Linked DNA regions of Saccharomyces cerevisiae S288C. The gene in region 4 interacts genetically with the main gene of each other region. Each region holds a gene or a part of one and is shown on either strand. Other genes may lie near its edges. The genes, in order: ERV2, IRS4, VPS55 and LCB5.

Region 1 (3,295 bases), on a different chromosome or scaffold from region 4:
TGCGTGCGTGCGTGATTGGTAATGCAGTGAATCATGCTTTTTCATGACGCCTCCTCCCCGCCCCTGAGCCTTCGGTGGCCGCCGAAGTCGGGTATTAATGGGCGCCCCTTTCCTGGTGTCCGGGAACCGCCTGCCGAAAACCACCCTCCGCAGGTCCGCGGAAGGTGGGTGTGGCTGTCCCCGCGCAAATCCGAGATCGATTCCGCGGCGGGTCGGTCATTCTTTTCATTTGCGCGCTAATATGCGCTGTGACTGGCGGTTAGTCATCTGCGTGATCAATCGTTGTCATGACGCTCTATAACGTAAGAGAACTTTAGAGGGGGCTCAATTAGCATGAAGAACAGACACATATATAAGGTCTCTAGATTTCTCCAATAGCTCAACTCTCACAATTGTTTCCTCTAGTCCTTGTAAAATATAAAAAATCATCATCAAACAAGCAACTACAAAACAGCTTTACTGACAACTCACACAAATAACACAAAAAACAAAAATTTCAACAATGGTCGCCTTTTTAGAACTAACTTCTGACGTTTCTCAACCTTTTGTCATCCCATCTCTTTCGCCAGTCTCTCAGCCAAGCTCAAGAAAGAACTCTGACGCAAACGTCGATGACCTGAATCTGGCTATTGCCAATGCCGCTCTTTTGGATGCCTCTGCTTCAAGCCGCTCACACTCCAGAAAAAACTCTTTGTCTCTGTTGTAAGTGTTGTACACGAGAATTAGCACACTATTAGCATAAAAGACACTTGGCATCTTTACTTACTTGGGCAAGTAAGTCACGTACTTTTTTTTTTTTTTCCGGAGCATTCATTGTCATTCTATCTGCACTTTCCCGCACTTACATTCAATAACCTCGGATCGGGTCTCTTCTACGACAGAAACTTTTTGATATATACATATTTATGTAATATAAATACTGAGAAAGTAAAAAAATTTAAAATATAAAATAATAAAAAATTTACTATTACTATAATTGATTAATGTAATCTTTCTTTGTTCAACCGTGCTGTTTAGCCTCCTTCTCGAGAGACACGCGTTTACCGTCGCTGTCACTACATCCACAATCGTAGTCCTCCAGGATGGTAGCACAGTCATATATGTCTTTCTTTAGGTATTCGTTCACCTTGTTGTGAATGTGGCATCCCCACATTGCGGCAGCCGTCCTGCTAGATGTCTGTACGGGATACTTCTCAATCAACTTTACAAAGTGATATGAACATTCCCCGCATGGATAGAGTTCTGCATACAACCCAATAAACGTGTGCAGTTTCTCTCTTTCTTCAGGAGTAGGCTCGTCCGGAAAACGGGCCAGCAGGGTATGGAAGTACTTCCACGACGCCCTGCCCACTTCCTTCTTCACCTTGTCATCGCCCATCAATGGCATAATGGTTTGCTTCTCGATCTCTTTCAACCGAGCGTCGTTCTTCTCAGCAGCCGCCCCTTGCACTTCATCTATACCAGACTTCGCCTTGATTAGGCCCGGCGTAGCGATGGATAGTTCATTAGACGAGAAAAACATCCACAGGCCTATGATTCCTAATGCTGCAACTATTCTGATGGCATGGCTTCTTTTGACTATCTGTTTCATCCCTTCGTTCCTTGCACAATCTGTCCAGACTTTCCTCTTTACAAATCACCAGCCTTCCCGTCTTCTTGTCTTCATCACCCACGTTTATTGTTTAATGATAAAGCCTTTTGTCCTTTATTTTTGGTTCCTTTTCCCGCTTCGTTTACCCGGTGGTTAACCTTTCTCTTCCATCTTGTAATATATAATAACAAAATGCATCACCATACTTACGCACCCCATATACATGACCTAAGGGCAGCTTTAGACACAACAGCTCCCCAGAAAAAATGTCCAAAAGAAACACTCCACCGCTCAGATCATCAGGGATAAACACTATTCAAATAAATGCTGCTAGAGAAATGCACGCTCAAACGGTGCGCGCTCGAAGAATGCCCATGCCAACTAGCGGCATCACTACACCCTCTGTGCAACCAACTGCAGCCCCAGCAACACCACCTCGACATATTTGCAATAACCCAAACAATCCGCAGTGTCTCCACTGTGGGTCTGTTATCATTCCATCTCCAAGGGCCACGTTACCCTTGGAGGACAACCCCTCCATCTCCATCAACGACTGGACCATCTCCTCCAGAAAGAAGCCCATTTTGAACTCGCAGGAATTAGACATCTGGGAAAACGAAAAACTCAAAGGTTTGACTTTGCCAGAGATGATTTTTGGTAACAACTACATCAGGATCGAAAATTCAAAACAGCATTGGTCCATAGAGTTCAATGCCCTGGATGCTTTAAAGGAGGTTCAACTCCAGGATTCAGGTATTCGTGTTGCGTACTCAAACGACTGGATAAATTCTAAAAAAAGACAAAATTCAACTAATGGTGCGCAACGGTTCACTAACGATGTGAACGACGATTCCTTAAATATCATACACAAGTACGACTGGACCTACACTACGCGGTATAAGGGCACAGAGAGCTCACCTGAGTCGAAATTCCGACTGGATAACGATCAAAAGCTGCCCCTTGACAAACTGGCCGTACACGATAAAATCCTATTCTATGACGACATGATTCTTTTCGAAGACGAATTGGCAGACAATGGCATATCAATCCTTAACGTCAAAATAAGAGTTATGAACGAAAGGTTACTGCTGCTGAGCCGGTTCTTTTTAAGGGTGGACGATGTTCTGGTGAGGGTCTACGACACCAGGATTTACGTGGAGTTTGACGAAAACGTAGTGATCAGAGAATCCAAGGAATTTGAAGGTAAATATCAGGATGTACTTGCTAAGCACCGGCTATCCCAATCTCACGACCCAAAAGCTGCCTTGAGAGATAGTAATTGGGTAGCACAGAACACGCCGATGATCAAAAGACAATGTGAAATAATTCAGTTCTAACAATCAAATATACAAAACAATACGTACAAATACATACACGTCACATATACATAAGCTCCGGATACATCATACAAGAAATGATCTTAAAATCATGCTCTTACCCGTTCTGTAAATAGTGAAAAATTTTCATCGCGAAGTATGAACGAAAAAAAAAAAAGAAAATAGATGAACTTTTAGCATTTAATTAGTGGCAAACGCCTACCCCTCCTTCCCACTTTGCTGACTTACAAAGACACCACTACATTAAAGAGTATCTCGTGTGTTCTTCTTTTTTTTCCAAAAAAAAAAACTCCTATTATTTGCATAAACACACGTTCACTGGTACAAGATGTCTATTAATATTTGTAGAGATAATCATGATCCATTT
Region 2 (8,485 bases), on a different chromosome or scaffold from region 4:
GAATCACTTTCATCAAAACTATAAAATTGATCATTTTCGGTACCACTACTCATTGTTAAAAGCCTCTAACAAGTACACCCAAATTCGCTAAAGACAAATTAAATATACTTAAAGAATGGCTATAATTCCTGTATAGTAGCTGGGATAGTAACAAATCAATACAAATGTAGCTACCTTAAAACTAAGGCAGTACTCACAGCATTCTTCACCTTCCTCTCCTCTTTTCTAAAGCGGGTTCCTATTTTTTGCGCAAGGAGGAAGGACGATGGCACTGAGAAAGCATCAAATCGTATGTAATTAAACTACGCAAGGTATGTACGGTCAATAAGTATAGCTTAGCGCTTTAAAATTAGGTGGGACATTAGGAAAACTAATAGGGGAAAATATTTCTTAAAAAAAAGGGCATGAGGGCTGATCAAAACTTGATTACAATGAATGGTCAACGCGGTCAATGGCAGCCTTAATTTTCATACCTACTCTCGTACTCAATTCATAATCATCTGCGTAGCCCTGAGCCCTCAGTAACCATTCTTTACTCTCTGGAAGGCCATCCATGCCCTCCAACTTCCATGTAAATAGAGCACGTTCATAAAGTGCAGTCGGATAGGCCCATGGATCTTCAGTTTTCTTTATATATTTGACCTTGCCATTTTGAATGGAGAAAAACTTAGGTAGAACCTTTTCATCCAATATATCACAACCTTCTTGGATATGACCTAATCTTCTTAATGTCAAAGAGACCAAGAGATCTTTGATTAACTCCTGATCTGAGTCTAAAGCTTCAATGGCGGGATTTCTATACTCAGTTAGCATTTTCTTTGTTAGCTCCAAATGCTCTTCAGACATTCTATTATAACCATTGTAGAAGTACGCAATTTCGTGTACTGGTGAAGTAGCGATACCATCCAGAGGATTTTCCACCCCAAGTTCCTCCTTTTTCGCTTTAAATTGCTCAACTTTTCTCAGAATAAACCTATCTAATGGCAGGTTCTTCGATTTGAAGGTTTTCTTACCTAGCAAATTCACAGAGGTGAAGATAAGTTCTTCGGCCTTCTTTTGGTATTCATCCTTTTTGTCTGACTTCATTAATCCCATTTCGCACATTCTCCAATTTTCTAAATAACAGCAGCCAGCAAAATATGTGTAAAAAGCGTGTGACCAATCACTGATGTCTAATAGCGATAAAATATCTTCTGCAGCTCTATCGTATTGATGCAAATGGATCAATGTTATAGCACGGTCAAAAATCATCAAGGATTTGACCTGTCTCATCCGTATCTTGCTAACATCAATCGAATCCATCAATGCGACTGCTTCCTCTAAACGCCCTTTACCAGATAGCATCCTTGCCTCATTCAATAACCATAGCGCACTATTGGGAAATAGCGCTCTTGATTGCAGCAACGCATCTTCCAGTATTTTCCCAGGATGCAACAACGTAGGGCCATCCATCTCTTCATCTTCAGAATCTTCACTGTTACTGGAATCCTTAACTGCTGCAGGAATATCAAAATCATCGTCAGTGAATTGGAAAGGTCCATCATAGTAAAACATCAGGGCTAACAAACCAATACAACCATGCACGTTTCTTTGCTTTGTGGCTTTCCAAACAAGTCTCAAACCTTCTTCTCTGGAACCCCTGAATCCAACCACAGATAGGACCGCGCCAATAGCGGGTGGTAATAGTGATATCACAACCTGTAAAATACCAAAGCATAAATTGACACCAGAATGGACAAACTCATCAATTGTTGCTTGACTTAAATCTATATCATCCGAAAGAACTTTATGATCTGTTATTTCCTCTTCTGGCAAGTCTTCCATTGCTTGTAGTCCTAGCTCACCTCTCAACCTGTTAATTGCAGGAGAGTTGCCAATGTGGGCGCCAGATAATCTTTCAGTCCTCATGCTATGAATTTGTTCAGCAAATTGTAAAAGATCCTTATCCTTTTGTTCTTCAGGAGTCAGTTCATAAGGTATATCAACGGAATTGAACGCATCGCCACCAGTTATGAAAGTCGCTGGGGTGGACTCCTTATCTTCACTGCCTGACGTAATTTTCAATTTCTTGGCTTTGTTAGCAGCTTTAATAGTTTCCAAGATTTCTTGTAACATATAGTACGACTTTCTGAGCTTTAAAATGGCCTTGGCCGCCTCCATCATACTTTCACTGAAAATCATCAATAGGGCATGTAGAAGGCATGATTCTGTATAAGTCACGGCATAAACTGTTCCTGGAGGATATAAAGAACTGCTCTTCAATCCAATTTTTTGAGCCCTCTCTCTACTTTTCAAAGATAAAGCTTCTGCCTTGGCCAAAGTCGCAGAAGCTTTTTTCATCTCTTCAGCTTCAAAACCTAAAGTGGCCTCCAAAAATTCAATGACACCACGAGCTAACGCATTTATAGTTTGGTCGGAAGCTTCTTTAGCATCACTCTCATCCAGCAAAGCCAAACCCTCGTCAGCATTATCATCTAAGACATAGTCCATCGCACGCAGTGCCTGTTCGAAATCATGAGCTTGTTTTAGAATGGCTTTAGTTTTTTCTTCCTGTGAAAGCTCAGGAATCTCTTCCTTCGCACCAAAACCAAACACTTTAAACATTTTGGTTGTTCTGTGATCCACTAGTCACAATTAGCCTGTGGATCGTCTCAGTGGTGGCATCCGAATAAACGATGCCTCTTTTTTAGTTGATCGAATTTGCCCCCTTCCTTGGAAAAAAGGAAAGAAAGCAAAAAGCCGGGAATAATAATAACAGAGAAGACTAATAGACATTTTTTTAGTAAGATTGGCCTTATCTCGAACAAGATTTCTGAGATGACAATTCGATTAGCTTAACAGTAACAAGTGGGGGAATTACGCATTATATATATATACTTCTGTATATGTCTACCTACGAAGTGGTGCGAGTCACACTCGTCACGACGAGCTATTGTGGTCTACAAGAACTACACGGTTTTCCTTCTTGATATTCTTGATTTCTTCTTTCATCTGTTTTCTCTTTTGTTTGGCCATCGCCTTTAGCGTACTCACTGGCACAACCGTGGTGGAAGCATATCTATCTACGCTATCCCAAACGCATTGCTCGACAACATTGGGAAGTTTTCTGCCATACAGGCACTGATCGACCAGCCACATACCCACAATAAAAGATTTCCTATCTAAAGTACCATCTTTTCTTGTGTCTACCTTCGTGTAAATTTCTGCCAATAGACTATTGGGCAAGTTAGACCGCTTCCAGATATCACGGACTATGATACCCAATATCAATCCATCTTCGGGTAAAGTATTAATTGCTCCGGAATCACCCGTTATAGAGGGCCACCAGCTCAACAGGTTCAAATGACGGTGTCTGTTGCTTACCCACATGCTTTCGTAACGCTTCCTTTCGTTGTCTGTTACGAAAGTTATATCTGTATGTGATTTCCAGGGTTTATCCTCATTGAATTTCCGATCTCTCGTGCGGTGGATAGGCCTATGATGTGCAGTTTTATTGGCAGAATTCCTGATCTTTCTCTTAATTCTATCTCTTTTGCGTGGCTTGGTCAAGGCGTCCTGGTTCTGATCAGATTCAGAATCAGAATCAGTATCGTCATACACATCATACGTGTCGTTGGACGGATTGTACTTATACCTCAGATTTCCCTCATGTAGAGAGGATGCATGATCATTTTCTGCGTTTGTACTTACAGAGGTTTTACGTAATGTTGTTTTAAATCTCATACTCGGTTGTTGTTCATGTTGTCCCAGTTCTTCGCTGCTTGCATCCATTTCATATTGTGAAGATAAGTGCTTGGGCTTACTACCAAATACTTTCCTTTTGAACTTGTTAACAAGCTTCTTCTTCCTCATATCGGATGAATAGTTCGGAACCAAGTTGGGCAAACCACTTCCCTGGTTGCTCGTTGTAGTAGTAGTGTTTGAGCTTGCAATAGATGGCTCTGATTCACATAACGAGAGTTGATTAATTGTTTGAGATAGACTTGTTTGTGACCTATTAGAAATAACGTCTGAAGTGTCCGGATTGAGACTATGTCTGGAATCGATGCTAATTGATGATAGGTTTTCATTTTCATGAAGCTGACCACTGCCGACAAGTGATGATTGCAAGGGAGGAGACGGCCTGCGTTTGGGCAGAGCTTTGTTGCTGTCTTTATTAGTTGCAGGCTCCATAGAGCTCGAGGATAGCCTTCTACCGCTACTAAAGGAAGTAAGTAAATTCTCTTGAGATCTATTGTCGGGAGTTCTTTGGCCAGGCGTCAGTGATTCATTGGAGCCGTTTCTTGAGCTTGAGCGTGAATGAATGCCCAGCAAGCCATTCAAGTTCGGAGTTTCTAGAACTTTTAGTGTATCCAATGCCGAAGAATGGGAGGAGTTATTGTCAGAACTAAGTTTCGATTGTGAATGCGCTAAAGCAGCTGCCATTTGAGCAGTACTACTAACATTATCTTTACCTGCAGGGCTTGACCTGTGTTTCTTAGACAACTCAACATCATTAGGCGCCGTTGTTTTAATCTTAGGTACCTGTTTTGTTCGTATGCGTGCCTTCTTTTGTTCTTGTTTCCGCCCTGACTTTTGTAGCGATGGCTCTGATAACCTAGTTTGAGGATTCCTGCTCACCGTTACTGGAGGGCATGGACTGCTGACCTCATTGGAATGGTTCTGGAAGATAGCTTGCGCAGCGCGAAGGGAATCTGAAGCTCCTTGTTCAGTCAAAGTTACTGTTGTACCGCCATGATAACGCTGTTTACCAAACGAAAGTCTCATACTCCTCTGCTAATCTTTTCCTATGTCAAAAAAATGAATCTACCCAGGCCTTAAAAGTATGTTCTACCTGTGCAACGAGAGTGTTGTTGTGGCAAGGGTCCATTACACAATGGGCCTTTTTGTGATGATTCAACTTCGATATGCTTTATACGAGAAATCATCGAATTTTCGCTGCGTGGAAACAAGAGGCAGTAAGTTGTACGTATAGGTGAGGCTCTGCATAGAAGAGGCGTATTTGCGGTGAGACGGAATCTGACGAGGATATTAAGTACAGATGGCAGAACAAATTAGTCACAAAAAGTCCCTGAGGGTGAGCAGTCTGAACAAAGATAGAAGATTGCTCTTAAGAGAATTCTACAACTTGGAAAATGAACCGAATAAAGGTCGTCAAGAAGCACGTATAGGGGAAAAAGCCAGCGAGGCTCATTCTGGGGAGGAGCAAGTCACAGATGTGAATATAGATACCGAAGCAAACACTGAGAAACCAGTGAAAGATGACGAATTGAGTGCAACTGAAGAGGATCTCAAGGAGGGGTCAGAAGATGCAGAAGAAGAGATAAAGAACCTGCCCTTTAAGAGGCTAGTACAAATTCACAATAAGCTCTTGGGCAAAGAAACCGAGACTAACAATTCTATCAAGAATACCATTTACGAAAACTATTATGACCTAATAAAAGTCAACGACCTTCTCAAAGAAATTACAAACGCCAATGAAGACCAAATTAACAAGTTGAAGCAAACAGTAGAATCTTTAATCAAGGAACTGTAATTTCCAGCGGCATATCGTGGCTTTCACCGAACACTTCCTTCGAGAGAGTGCATTTTACTATGTGAACCAATTTTTCCTCTTTTTCGGTTTGCAAGTTCACCTGAAAAACTGCTTAACACTACTAGCAATTGCCCTATTGTCGTACGAGGACTTTGCCAAATGTATTCCCGGCTGTTTGTAGTATATATACGCAGATATATAATAGCGCCGTCTTTTTACCTCTTTGAGCGAATTGCCAAATATTGACTCTTTTGTCTTATTTCGCTATCCCCATCTTATCAAAAATGGGAACAACTCGTTGAAATAAGAGACAAGCAACAAGAAAGACAACCAACAGAAAGTTCCATTCCGCACAAATACGCTGGAATCCCATAGAATATTGCTTGTTCCTCTATGACTACATGCTCCAATTCAATACAGAAAATGATACTGTAGCTCCAGTGTTTCCCATGGAGCAAGATATAAATGCAGCACCTGATGCCGTCCCACTGGTGCAGACAACAACACTACAAGTCTTTGTAAAGCTTGCCGAACCCATAGTGTTTTTAAAAGGATTTGAAACTAACGGACTGTCTGAAATAGCCCCCAGTATCTTACGAGGATCTCTTATCGTCAGGGTGTTGAAACCGAATAAATTAAAAAGTATATCGATAACCTTCAAAGGAATATCCAGAACAGAGTGGCCGGAAGGTATACCACCGAAGAGAGAAGAATTTTCAGATGTTGAAACTGTTGTCAATCACACATGGCCATTTTATCAGGCGGATGACGGCATGAATTCTTTCACCTTAGAACATCACAGCTCAAATAATTCGTCCAATCGCCCATCTATGAGCGATGAAGATTATCTACTTGAAAAAAGCGGTGCTTCAGTATATATCCCACCAACCGCTGAACCCCCTAAAGATAATAGCAATCTAAGTCTGGATGCCTATGAGCGCAACTCATTGTCATCCGATAATTTGAGTAACAAGCCAGTATCAAGTGATGTTTCCCATGACGACAGTAAACTGTTGGCTATTCAAAAGACACCATTACCATCATCTAGTCGAAGAGGATCGGTACCGGCAAATTTTCACGGTAACTCTTTGTCACCTCATACCTTCATATCTGATTTGTTTACAAAAACATTCAGTAATAGTGGCGCTACTCCAAGTCCTGAGCAAGAGGATAACTATCTTACACCATCCAAAGATTCTAAAGAAGTTTTTATTTTTCGACCGGGCGATTATATTTACACTTTTGAACAGCCAATATCGCAATCTTATCCAGAAAGTATAAAAGCCAATTTTGGTTCCGTGGAGTATAAACTGTCAATAGACATAGAGAGGTTTGGCGCATTCAAATCAACTATACATACTCAATTACCCATCAAAGTCGTAAGGCTTCCTTCTGATGGATCCGTAGAAGAGACTGAAGCTATTGCAATTTCCAAGGACTGGAAAGATCTTCTTCATTATGACGTGGTAATTTTCTCGAAAGAGATCGTTTTGAATGCATTTTTACCCATCGATTTCCATTTCGCTCCTCTAGATAAAGTTACTCTGCATCGTATTAGAATTTATCTAACAGAGTCTATGGAATACACTTGTAATAGTAATGGAAATCACGAGAAGGCTCGTAGATTAGAGCCAACTAAAAAGTTTCTGTTGGCTGAACATAACGGTCCTAAACTGCCTCATATACCAGCTGGTTCGAATCCTTTGAAGGCTAAAAATAGAGGGAACATCCTCTTGGATGAAAAATCCGGCGATCTAGTTAACAAAGATTTTCAGTTCGAGGTGTTTGTCCCAAGCAAGTTTACAAACAGTATACGGTTACACCCTGATACAAATTATGATAAAATCAAAGCCCACCATTGGATAAAAATTTGCCTTCGTCTTTCCAAGAAGTACGGGGACAATAGAAAACATTTCGAAATAAGTATTGATTCTCCAATCCATATTTTAAATCAACTATGCTCACACGCGAATACTTTGCTACCGAGCTACGAGAGTCATTTCCAGTATTGTGATGAAGATGGTAATTTCGCACCAGCAGCAGATCAACAAAATTACGCAAGTCATCATGATTCCAATATTTTCTTCCCAAAAGAAGTTCTTTCGTCTCCCGTTCTTTCACCTAACGTGCAGAAGATGAACATTAGAATACCGTCTGATCTTCCAGTAGTGCGTAATAGAGCTGAAAGCGTAAAGAAAAGCAAGTCAGATAATACCTCCAAGAAGAATGATCAAAGTAGCAATGTCTTCGCATCCAAACAGCTGGTCGCAAACATTTATAAGCCCAATCAGATTCCAAGAGAATTAACTTCTCCTCAGGCGTTACCATTATCGCCCATCACCTCACCAATTCTCAATTACCAACCATTATCAAACTCCCCGCCTCCAGATTTTGATTTTGATCTAGCTAAGCGCGGCGCAGCCGATTCTCATGCTATTCCTGTGGATCCTCCATCATATTTTGATGTATTAAAGGCCGATGGGATTGAATTGCCATACTACGATACAAGTTCATCTAAAATTCCTGAACTAAAACTAAACAAATCTAGAGAGACATTGGCCAGCATTGAGGAGGACTCATTCAATGGTTGGTCTCAAATTGATGACTTATCCGACGAAGATGACAATGATGGCGATATAGCATCTGGTTTCAACTTCAAGCTGTCAACCAGTGCTCCGAGTGAGAACGTTAATTCACACACTCCTATTTTGCAGTCTTTAAACATGAGTCTTGATGGGAGAAAAAAAAATCGTGCCAGTCTACACGCAACATCAGTGTTACCTAGTACAATAAGACAGAACAATCAGCATTTCAATGACATAAACCAGATGCTAGGCAGTAGTGACGAAGATGCCTTTCCCAAAAGCCAATCATTAAATTTCAATAAGAAACTACCAATACTTAAAATTAATGATAACGTCATACAATCAAACAGCAATAGTAATAACA
Region 3 (4,056 bases), on a different chromosome or scaffold from region 4:
TCTTGCTGTAGGCCTTACCAAAGGTTTAGATTTCTCTTCTAACGTCTTAGTCCTCTCTATAATTTTCGATGATTCAGAAACTTTAAGTTCGTATGAATTTTTAATGGTTAAACAATCCTTTTGATCGATAATGTCGTAATATGGTATGAAGCTGTCCATGGGATTGAAGGCATAGATGAAACAATCAATTATTGAATCTTGCTGTGGAATGTTGGAAAGATCATGAATAATTTTAATAGTTTGATCTTTGTAGCAGCATATCACTACGCAGTTGTATTTGGCATTGGTGGTCTGTTTGTAATAGTCAAACATTAATTTCTTGGCCATGGATGGGCCGATCTTCAAGTGGTGAATTAGATCCGTAAAAAGGACGGGCTTTACCTCAGTGAAGAGCTTCTCATTGATAAAATATGACGCCTTTTGATCCATTAATTACCGATTGAGTTAACTAAAGCCTATTTCTGGTTGTTAGTTAATGTGAAATATTATTTCGAGCTGATCTGATTGCGATGTAACGAACTTCTGCGTACTTTTCAAAATTAAGAGTTTCGCGTGTTTAACTCATACGCGTTTACTACTTCCGTCGGAAAGTTACACCGTAGTGGAAAATAGACCTATTCGTTAGTATAACCTTATTAAGGTACTTCCATTAATGAAGTGTTCTATATTGAGGCATACTGATCGAGAATTTTCATAAGGTGAAACGATAAAAATATAAAAATTAAGCTTAGCGCCGCTCGGTTTCGATCCGAGGACATCAGGGTTATGAGCCCTGCGCGCTTCCACTGCGCCACGGCGCTTAACTTTTATGAATATTTTAGACTTAATAAAGATTCATATTGTAAAATTAAAAACAACTTGCACACTGAGCTGTGTTAGAATGAAATCCTACTATAATCCATAGTAGTATTCATGTCACTAGCACATTACAAAATATGCCATAGGAAGATGACGTAAAGATTGAGAACTAGTCATCAGATATAATAGAAGCTGAAAAGCAAGAATTGATAATATCGGACGCTATCCTACAATAGCAGCGCAGTTGCATAATTTGTTATGTGTCGTCTTTATTGTGTGTAAAGCTTTATACACCTTTACCTTTGTGTAGAAGACAAAGACATTGTTGTTATCACTATGTCCACATTCGCTACGAGGATATTTTCAACATATCTAGTTGAAATACAAATCTCAAGCCACTATAAAAACTGCGGAATCAAACAAATGTACAATACATTATCCTACTAGAGACTAATTTCTCAAGGTTTGCAATCCCATCTCTTTTCATGAGGTATATTGCGGCACAGAATGGTTGTACGACCATTGCTCAACGTTTCCGCTCATAGATCGATTCAAATAAGATTATAGACATGTGGCGATTCAATGCCAATCCTTATCCCGAAATTACGGATGTATTCAGCCAACTTTGCCTATCTACATTATTCTGTCAACTAGAGGCTAAAGACACGAATTTCTTGGCATTTTTTGTTTGAAAACTTGAAATGGAAGAAAGACAGAAAGTAATTTTATGTAATCTATTATATTTAAGTAGTTCTAAAAAAAAGGAGAAATCGACGCCAGATTTCCCACCTTGAGTAGAGTATCATACTATATAATATCAATGTACGGTTCACGCACCCAGTTGGCTTAGTCTGTTGAGGGGATGAGTAATTGTTATATATTAACCAAAAAGGGAATCATCTTCGTTGAAATCTTTTTTGAAAAACCATTTAAAAATAACAATACTAGAATATATGATAAGACCACCGATCATGCACATGATACAACTCAAATGGCCAATCAATTGGCAATGATAGAAAACAACAGGGAGTGCTATACCGCTTGTCACCAGCATTCCTGTAAGGAAGTGAGCCAGATCTTGGCCAGTGTTTGATGAATCGGACATGAAGTCAGATGTGTGATATTTATTTCCTGCATTGAAAATTGTGTTTGGTATTGGGGCAAGCAAAAAGATCAAAATATCGAATAGTGGGTAGTAATTATGGAATAATGCGCAGCTTAGTATGACCAAAAGGAATCCCAATGCGAGGAATCCTGACAGAGAAATAATCTTTGTCAATGGTGACACTTTGAATTCCATCATAACCGTCTGGGATTTTATGTATTAAGATTCTTTGCCTTTTAGATTTGATAAATATGCGCCGATATTAGACGTGTGTGTGTGTGTGTGTGTGTGTGTGTGTGTGTGTGTGTGATTCCCCTTTTCTAGTTTTTCTCCTACTCTTTTTTTCTCAGTTTTTCGTAAAGTGGAGTGAAAGCCCATCTAAGAAAAAGGCATAATAAAATGTAATAATTTTGAGGAGTACATTTGGGTATAGAACAGGATCAAACTAATTACAAGAGATACATGGCTTTCCCGCTTAATGCGAGGAAACAGTACTTATATAAACGATATATGTTTGGGGCGTGTATATTATGTATATAAATGTTCTTAAAAAATAAAGAAACAAAAATACTGGTTAGTTATTATTATGTTTTTTGTCATTCTTTCTAGTTTAACATTGTGGTAGTAATTTATTAACAGGAATTTGCTTTTTACTGCTTAGTTTCACCAGATTCGGCATTGTTGCCGTTGTTGTTGTTGTTGTTGTTAGAGTCGTTCTTGTATAATTGTTCAAACAATTTCATCGAGGAAGTTTGCAATTCTTCGGTCTTGGTCTTTAACTCCTCAGCGTTAACCTCTTCGCCACCTTGTACTCTAGCAACCAACTCCTTCAAGGAAGTGATTTGATCCCTAACCTTTTGGGCTTCAGCCTTGTCAACCTTACCTTCAAATTCTTTCAAGGAGTTTTCAGTATCGTTGGCCAATTGGTCAGCCTTGTTGGCAGTTTCGATGGCTTGTTTTCTAGCTTCATCTTGAGACTTGAATTTTTCAGCGTCGTTAACCATTTGTTCAATTTCGTTTTCGGACAAACCAGAAGAACCGGCAACAGTAATAGAAGAATCTTTGTTTGTAGCTTTGTCTCTAGCAGAAACGTTAATAATACCATCGGCATCGATGTCAAAAGTGACTTCGATTTGTGGGACACCCTTTGGAGCAGGTGGGATACCGGCTAAAGTGAAGTTACCAATCAATTTGTTGTCTCTAACCAATTCTCTTTCACCTTGGAAAACTCTGATTTCAACAGAAGTTTGACCAGCAGCGGCAGTGGAGAAGATTTGAGATTTCTTTGTTGGAATAGTAGTGTTTCTTGGAATCAATCTTGTGAAAACACCACCTAAAGTTTCGATACCTAGAGACAATGGGGTAACATCTAATAATAAGACGTCAGTAACCTCACCGGACAAGACAGCACCTTGCACAGCAGCACCAATGGCAACAGCTTCATCTGGGTTGACGGCCTTAGATGGGTCCTTACCAAACAAAGATTTAACGGTTTCGACAACCTTAGGCATTCTGGACATACCACCGACCAATAAGACTTCAGATATGTCTGAAGTAGACAAACCGGCGTCTTTCAAAGCCTTCTTGACTGGGTCGACAGTTCTCTTAACTAGTGGGGCTGTCAAAGTCTCGAATTGAGCCCTGGAGAACTTCATGTTGATATGCTTTGGACCTGAGGCATCAGCAGTGATAAATGGCAGGTTGATTTCAGTGGAAACGGTAGAAGATAGCTCAATCTTAGCCTTTTCAGCAGCTTCTCTAATTCTTTGGATAGCCATACGGTCATTTTCCAAATCAATACCAGTTTCGGTCTTGAAACGAGAAACAATCTCTCTCAACAAATAGATGTCGAAATCTTCACCACCCAAATGAGTGTCACCGTTAGTGGACTTAACTTCAAAAACACCGTTGTCAATATCTAAGATGGAGATATCGAAAGTACCACCACCCAAATCGAAAACGGCAACAACTTTAGAGTCGGATTTTTCCAAACCGTAAGCTAAGGCAGCGGCGGTTGGTTCATTGACGACACGTAAAACGTTCAAACCAACAATTTGGCCTGCGTCTTTAGTAGCTTGTCTTTGAGAGTCGTTGAAATAAGCTGGGACAGTGACAACAGCATTCTTAACTGGCTTACCCAAGTAGGCCTCAGC
Region 4 (5,304 bases):
TCAAAGCTTTATTCAAAAAGATTGCCAAATCGCTGCCTGAATTTCAAAACAGCGAGTCAACTCCTTTGGATAGCGAAAATGCAAATAGTGCAAACCAAAATAAACCGGGAGTCATTGATATTTCTACAGCAGAGGAGCAGGAACAAAGCGCTTGTCAGTGTTAGCACCTAATATTTCAGTTCTATAGGGCATAAGGAGAACTCTTTGTGTGCGTCATATTTTTTAGTGAACTACCAGCACATAATAATTGTACTGATAATATTAATAATAATCATAATCATAATGTACTTGACGATCTGATGTGTAGGAGCTAGTACTCACTAAACATGGTTGTATTAAAGAATGGTATTAAAACTTTTTATAAAGAAGTATGGAGTGTATAAAGTTATCAAACAACAACAAAAACAACAACAACGTAAAAAAAATATAGAAGAAATAGAAATGACATATTCTAGTTTTTGATTAATTGTTCAGTACGAAGGAAAAGATTAAGTAAAGTGTCACATAGAATCGAAATCTGTGTCCACATAACGGCCATTTCTCAGTAACGTCTTGCATAAGCGTGGCATAATTTCGACTTGAAGGGGCTCTAGAGGAAATTTCTCGCCATCGACAGAGAACAAGCCGTTCCCTAGCTTTGGTATTATCTTGTATGCCAAAATTTTAGAGTGTAAGACTTCCGGTTGTAAAACATGGGAACCCTTATCTAGTCCCAGCAGGATTGGTGCCATCCTCGTCAACGAGGTTCTTGCATCGGTGATAACCATATCCATTGTACCATCTGAAGGAAGCGCTGCCGGAAAGAATTTAGTGTCAGCAGCCACATATGGCATTTTACCCGTATAGAAGATACCTAGGTTGTTCGAAATATTAGGATCCAATCTTTCCCAGTCACTAGGGATACCTTCATCTAATGGATATTTTATTTTGAAATCTTCCTCTTTAATTTGATCAGCACTAGAATCTGCCAGATCACGAGATATCAAGTGGGAGTCTTCGTCATCCGCATCCGCATCTTCATCTTCATCTTCGTTTTCGGTTTCGTATTCATTTTCGTAATTGTAATTATCACAATCCTCGTTATCTTTGTTCATAGTAATATGCTGGAATTCTAACGACCCTTTATTTTTGTGTTCCAGGTAATGATTTTTTAACTCGTTTTTTGATTTGGCAGCATACTTTACATATATCTCACAAGGATATTTTTTTTTTTGTATGATATTGAAGGCTACACCCAATTCAAACCTTGCAGGTCCCATCCATCTAATAAATTCAGTGTTTATGTCAGTTTCTGCAATGAGACCATATGTTTGACTTAAAAATGATAACTTTGGGTGCTCTCTTGCATAAGAAGGCTGCGAACAACACATCAAATCAATTCTAGTCTCTATCGATTTAATTAAGCATAAAGTTGAGTACGAAGGATTGTTTGTCCAGTGGCAGGATACGCTCATTGCGTTACCTGATCCGCATGGAATTTCTGTAATGGCGATATTGTTGAATGCTTTGACATGATCAGGCCTTTGGTATAACCCATTGATCACCTCATGAGGAATGCCATCTCCCGAAGCGCAAGCAATAGTGTCATATTTGTCAATATCCATTTCCCGCGCGATCTCTATAGCATGACCAGGGTATTTTGTATAAACCACTTCTATGGAACACCGACTTGCTAATAGTAACGGCTTTGCCTTTGTCATAAACAGTTTTTTCGCCTTACCTTTACCACCAAACGGATTAATGATCACAAATATGGATTTGTTCCTTCTAGTGTTTTTGTAGCTTCTCTTTAAAATCTCCTCAACCAAGTCATCTTCTTCTTTTAAGTGAGAAGATGAATGGGGTTTATAGTCAATATACAATGAAACCCTTTTGGGTACAACGTCATGCCGTCTTGGCCTAGCAAATATAACCTCTACTAGTTTCGTAAAAGGAGATCTGGAAGTCAGGAGGCTACTACTACTGTTACTTCCTCGCGATAGCGAGTTGCCCTTCCTTTCTTTTTTTTGGGAAGACTCTAATTCATCAAGATCACACTTTTCACTAATGTTACTCATTGAGCTGCTTAAAGGTGAACTGGGTGATGAATTGGCATCATAATAATGCAGAGGTTCCTTTTCAATGTATCTGGCATCCAGAATTCGTCCATAGGGGATAACGGTGTTTGCTGGCAATTGACCATTCACCGAAGGATAATGAAGTTTTGGATTAGCAGAAAGATCATCTTTACTTGTATCCGTTGTCGATGTTTCCGATCTGTCTATTGTATCAGTATCGCTTAAACAGGTAACACAGCTAATTAGTGAAGCCGTTTCAAATATACTGTTGTTATCACTGTTGCTTTGAAAGCTAGTTCTACTGATGTTGCTTTGAAAGCTAGTTCTACTGATGTTGTCAATGCTGCTGCGACTTCGTTTATCTGCCATTCTATTTGCGTATGTGTAAGGACTTGATGGTTTTGCCTTGATCATTATTCCTTCCTCAGTCAGTATCGCTGACGTTATTTGCTTCTTCCTGGAATGGCGAGACCTGCCCTTACGTCTCTTTGAAGGTTTCAAAGTCATCTCTTTTGGCTTACTGTTTAAATCTTACACTATTTGTGGTTTTTTCGAGATAATATCAAGAGTCCTTTTACTCTTCTTTTCTTTCCTATTTTGCAACACGTATATACAACAGTTTATGCTGTAGTTATACTTTTTTGATTGTTTTTGTATAAATAGATTCGGCTCACGCAGCTTACGTTCCCTTTCTTCTTCGCCTGCGAAGGCTTTAACAAGGCCCGAAAACACCTTGATTTGCAAATCTAACTATGAATCTTGCAGAAAAGCGGTGGCAACTGAAAGGGAAAAAAACATAGATTAAAAGAAAGCAACATAGTAACATAAAGGAAGAGAAAATTTTGATGATAAAGAAGATGAATAATATACCTAATGCATCCAAATGTTCCTCCTGTTATACTATTGGGAATTATTGCGAGTGCATCCATTCGCGCAATGATCAAGTAGAACGCCAAGACTAGTTGTGCAAAGAAGTACAGTTGAAATTCCAGCCAGTTATGTCTCATCCCTATTCCACTGTTTTTGTAGGTATACAATGGTGTTACGAGCAATTGAAGCTGTTTATTGCCTGGTATTACCTCTGGAAACTTACTTTATAGCCGCCCATCTGTATATGTCATCATATACGGACCTCGTGGAATTTTCCAGAAAACCAAATGGGGAGGGTGACTTTAATTTTGCTTCGTTTTGCCCGGAGCAGAATCCAGACGGACATTCATGTATATATATTGAAGGAGACTAAGTTTTACATTCATTATGTAAGGTCGTGGTTGCGTCTTCATGCACTTCCTTGAATAATATAAGAAAATTCCCACGAGAAAACATCATAAGCAAAAAAGTTTTCAAAATGTTGAGATCATCCGTTGTTCGTAGTCGCGCTACTTTAAGGCCTTTATTGCGTCGTGCTTACTCCTCTCATAAAGAATTGAAATTCGGTGTAGAAGGAAGAGCCTCCCTTCTTAAGGGTGTCGAAACTTTAGCTGAAGCGGTTGCTGCTACTTTGGGTCCAAAGGGTAGAAACGTTTTAATCGAACAGCCTTTCGGTCCTCCAAAGATTACTAAGGATGGTGTTACAGTTGCCAAATCTATTGTGTTGAAGGACAAGTTTGAAAATATGGGTGCCAAGTTACTACAAGAAGTTGCCTCCAAAACCAATGAGGCTGCTGGTGACGGTACTACTTCTGCTACTGTCTTAGGTAGAGCCATCTTCACAGAATCCGTCAAAAATGTCGCCGCTGGTTGTAACCCTATGGATTTGAGAAGGGGTTCTCAAGTTGCAGTTGAAAAAGTGATTGAATTTTTGAGCGCCAACAAGAAAGAAATTACCACATCTGAGGAAATTGCTCAAGTAGCAACCATTTCTGCCAATGGGGACTCTCATGTTGGTAAGTTACTAGCTTCAGCTATGGAAAAGGTTGGAAAAGAAGGTGTCATCACTATCAGAGAAGGTAGAACATTGGAAGATGAACTTGAGGTTACTGAAGGTATGAGGTTTGATCGTGGTTTTATTTCTCCATACTTCATCACTGATCCAAAGTCGAGCAAGGTGGAATTTGAAAAGCCATTGCTATTGTTGAGTGAAAAGAAAATTTCTTCCATTCAAGATATCTTGCCAGCTTTGGAAATTTCCAATCAAAGCAGAAGACCTTTGTTGATCATTGCTGAAGATGTTGACGGTGAAGCTCTTGCGGCTTGTATTTTGAACAAGTTGAGGGGTCAAGTTAAGGTTTGTGCTGTGAAGGCGCCTGGTTTCGGTGATAATAGAAAGAATACAATTGGTGATATTGCAGTCTTGACGGGCGGTACTGTTTTTACTGAGGAGTTGGATTTGAAACCAGAACAATGTACCATAGAAAACTTGGGTTCTTGTGACTCTATTACCGTTACTAAGGAAGACACCGTTATCCTGAACGGTAGTGGTCCAAAGGAAGCTATTCAAGAGAGAATTGAACAAATCAAAGGCTCCATCGACATTACCACCACAAATTCATATGAGAAGGAGAAACTGCAAGAGCGTTTGGCCAAATTGTCCGGGGGTGTTGCTGTCATCAGGGTCGGTGGTGCATCTGAAGTTGAAGTTGGTGAAAAGAAGGACCGTTACGATGATGCTTTGAACGCTACCAGAGCTGCAGTTGAGGAAGGTATCTTGCCAGGTGGTGGTACTGCCTTAGTGAAGGCATCTAGAGTTTTGGATGAAGTTGTTGTCGACAATTTCGATCAAAAATTGGGTGTCGATATCATAAGAAAGGCCATTACAAGACCAGCCAAGCAGATCATTGAAAACGCTGGTGAAGAAGGTTCAGTTATCATCGGCAAATTGATTGATGAATATGGTGATGATTTTGCCAAGGGTTACGATGCCTCTAAGTCAGAATACACCGACATGTTAGCCACTGGTATCATCGATCCATTTAAAGTGGTTAGATCCGGTTTAGTTGATGCTTCTGGTGTTGCCTCACTATTAGCTACTACCGAAGTTGCTATTGTTGATGCCCCAGAACCACCAGCAGCTGCTGGCGCTGGTGGTATGCCAGGTGGTATGCCAGGAATGCCAGGTATGATGTAACGACCGCCTTAATTCAAAATTTATCTTTCGTTTAAATATGGTAATAATTTTATTATCTTGTAAATACAATGTGAAAAAAGTTGAGATTTTTAGGAATCACTTTTTCAAGTATAAAGAACTATATATGACTATGAGCTATTATATCTTTAAGTATGACTATATGTTGATAACTGAACAAAG

What was found.
Region 1: mutations in LCB5 (region 4) and ERV2 together harm fitness more than expected from each alone (negative genetic interaction), as found in Saccharomyces cerevisiae (2 studies listed by BioGRID).
Region 2: mutations in LCB5 (region 4) and IRS4 together harm fitness more than expected from each alone (negative genetic interaction), as found in Saccharomyces cerevisiae (3 studies listed by BioGRID).
Region 3: mutations in LCB5 (region 4) and VPS55 together harm fitness more than expected from each alone (negative genetic interaction), as found in Saccharomyces cerevisiae (2 studies listed by BioGRID).

The regions. Positions count from the first base shown.
Region 1 is NC_001148.4:645,448-648,742, forward strand, and holds ERV2 (flavin-linked sulfhydryl oxidase), read right to left. Parts: upstream 1,592-3,295; coding exon 1,001-1,591; downstream 1-1,000. Other genes in the region: SPO24 (Spo24p), read left to right, coding at 503-706; IRC16 (Irc16p), read left to right, coding at 1,389-1,748; TIP41 (Tip41p), read left to right, coding at 1,858-2,928; TIF5 (translation initiation factor eIF5), read left to right, coding at 3,257-3,295. UniProt on the Saccharomyces cerevisiae protein: FAD-dependent sulfhydryl oxidase that catalyzes disulfide bond formation in the endoplasmic reticulum lumen in parallel to ERO1.
Region 2 is NC_001143.9:473,297-481,781, forward strand, and holds IRS4 (Irs4p), read right to left. Parts: upstream 4,768-8,485; coding exon 2,920-4,767; downstream 1-2,919. Other genes in the region: E3 ubiquitin-protein ligase HEL1, read right to left, coding at 1-53; YKR018C (uncharacterized protein), read right to left, coding at 427-2,604; VPS51 (Vps51p), read left to right, coding at 5,042-5,536; ALY1 (Aly1p), read left to right, coding at 5,938-8,485. UniProt on the Saccharomyces cerevisiae protein: With TAX4, acts as a positive regulator of INP51 activity and phosphatidylinositol 4,5-bisphosphate turnover. Negatively regulates signaling through the cell integrity pathway, including the MAP kinase SLT2. Also seems to be involved in rDNA silencing.
Region 3 is NC_001142.9:517,085-521,140, forward strand, and holds VPS55 (Vps55p), read right to left. Parts: upstream 2,102-4,056; coding exon 1,679-2,101; downstream 1-1,678. Other genes in the region: DNA polymerase delta subunit POL32, read right to left, coding at 1-429; Hsp70 family ATPase SSC1, read right to left, coding at 2,554-4,056. UniProt on the Saccharomyces cerevisiae protein: Involved in protein transport from endosomes to the vacuole.
Region 4 is NC_001144.5:663,104-668,407, reverse strand, and holds LCB5 (sphinganine kinase LCB5), read right to left. Parts: upstream 2,565-5,304; coding exon 501-2,564; downstream 1-500. Other genes in the region: Rab family GTPase YPT6, read left to right, coding at 1-164; VPS63 (Vps63p), read left to right, coding at 1-171; chaperone ATPase HSP60, read left to right, coding at 3,406-5,124. UniProt on the Saccharomyces cerevisiae protein: Catalyzes the phosphorylation of the sphingoid long chain bases dihydrosphingosine (DHS or sphinganine) and phytosphingosine (PHS) to form dihydrosphingosine 1-phosphate (DHS-1P) and phytosphingosine 1-phosphate (PHS-1P) respectively.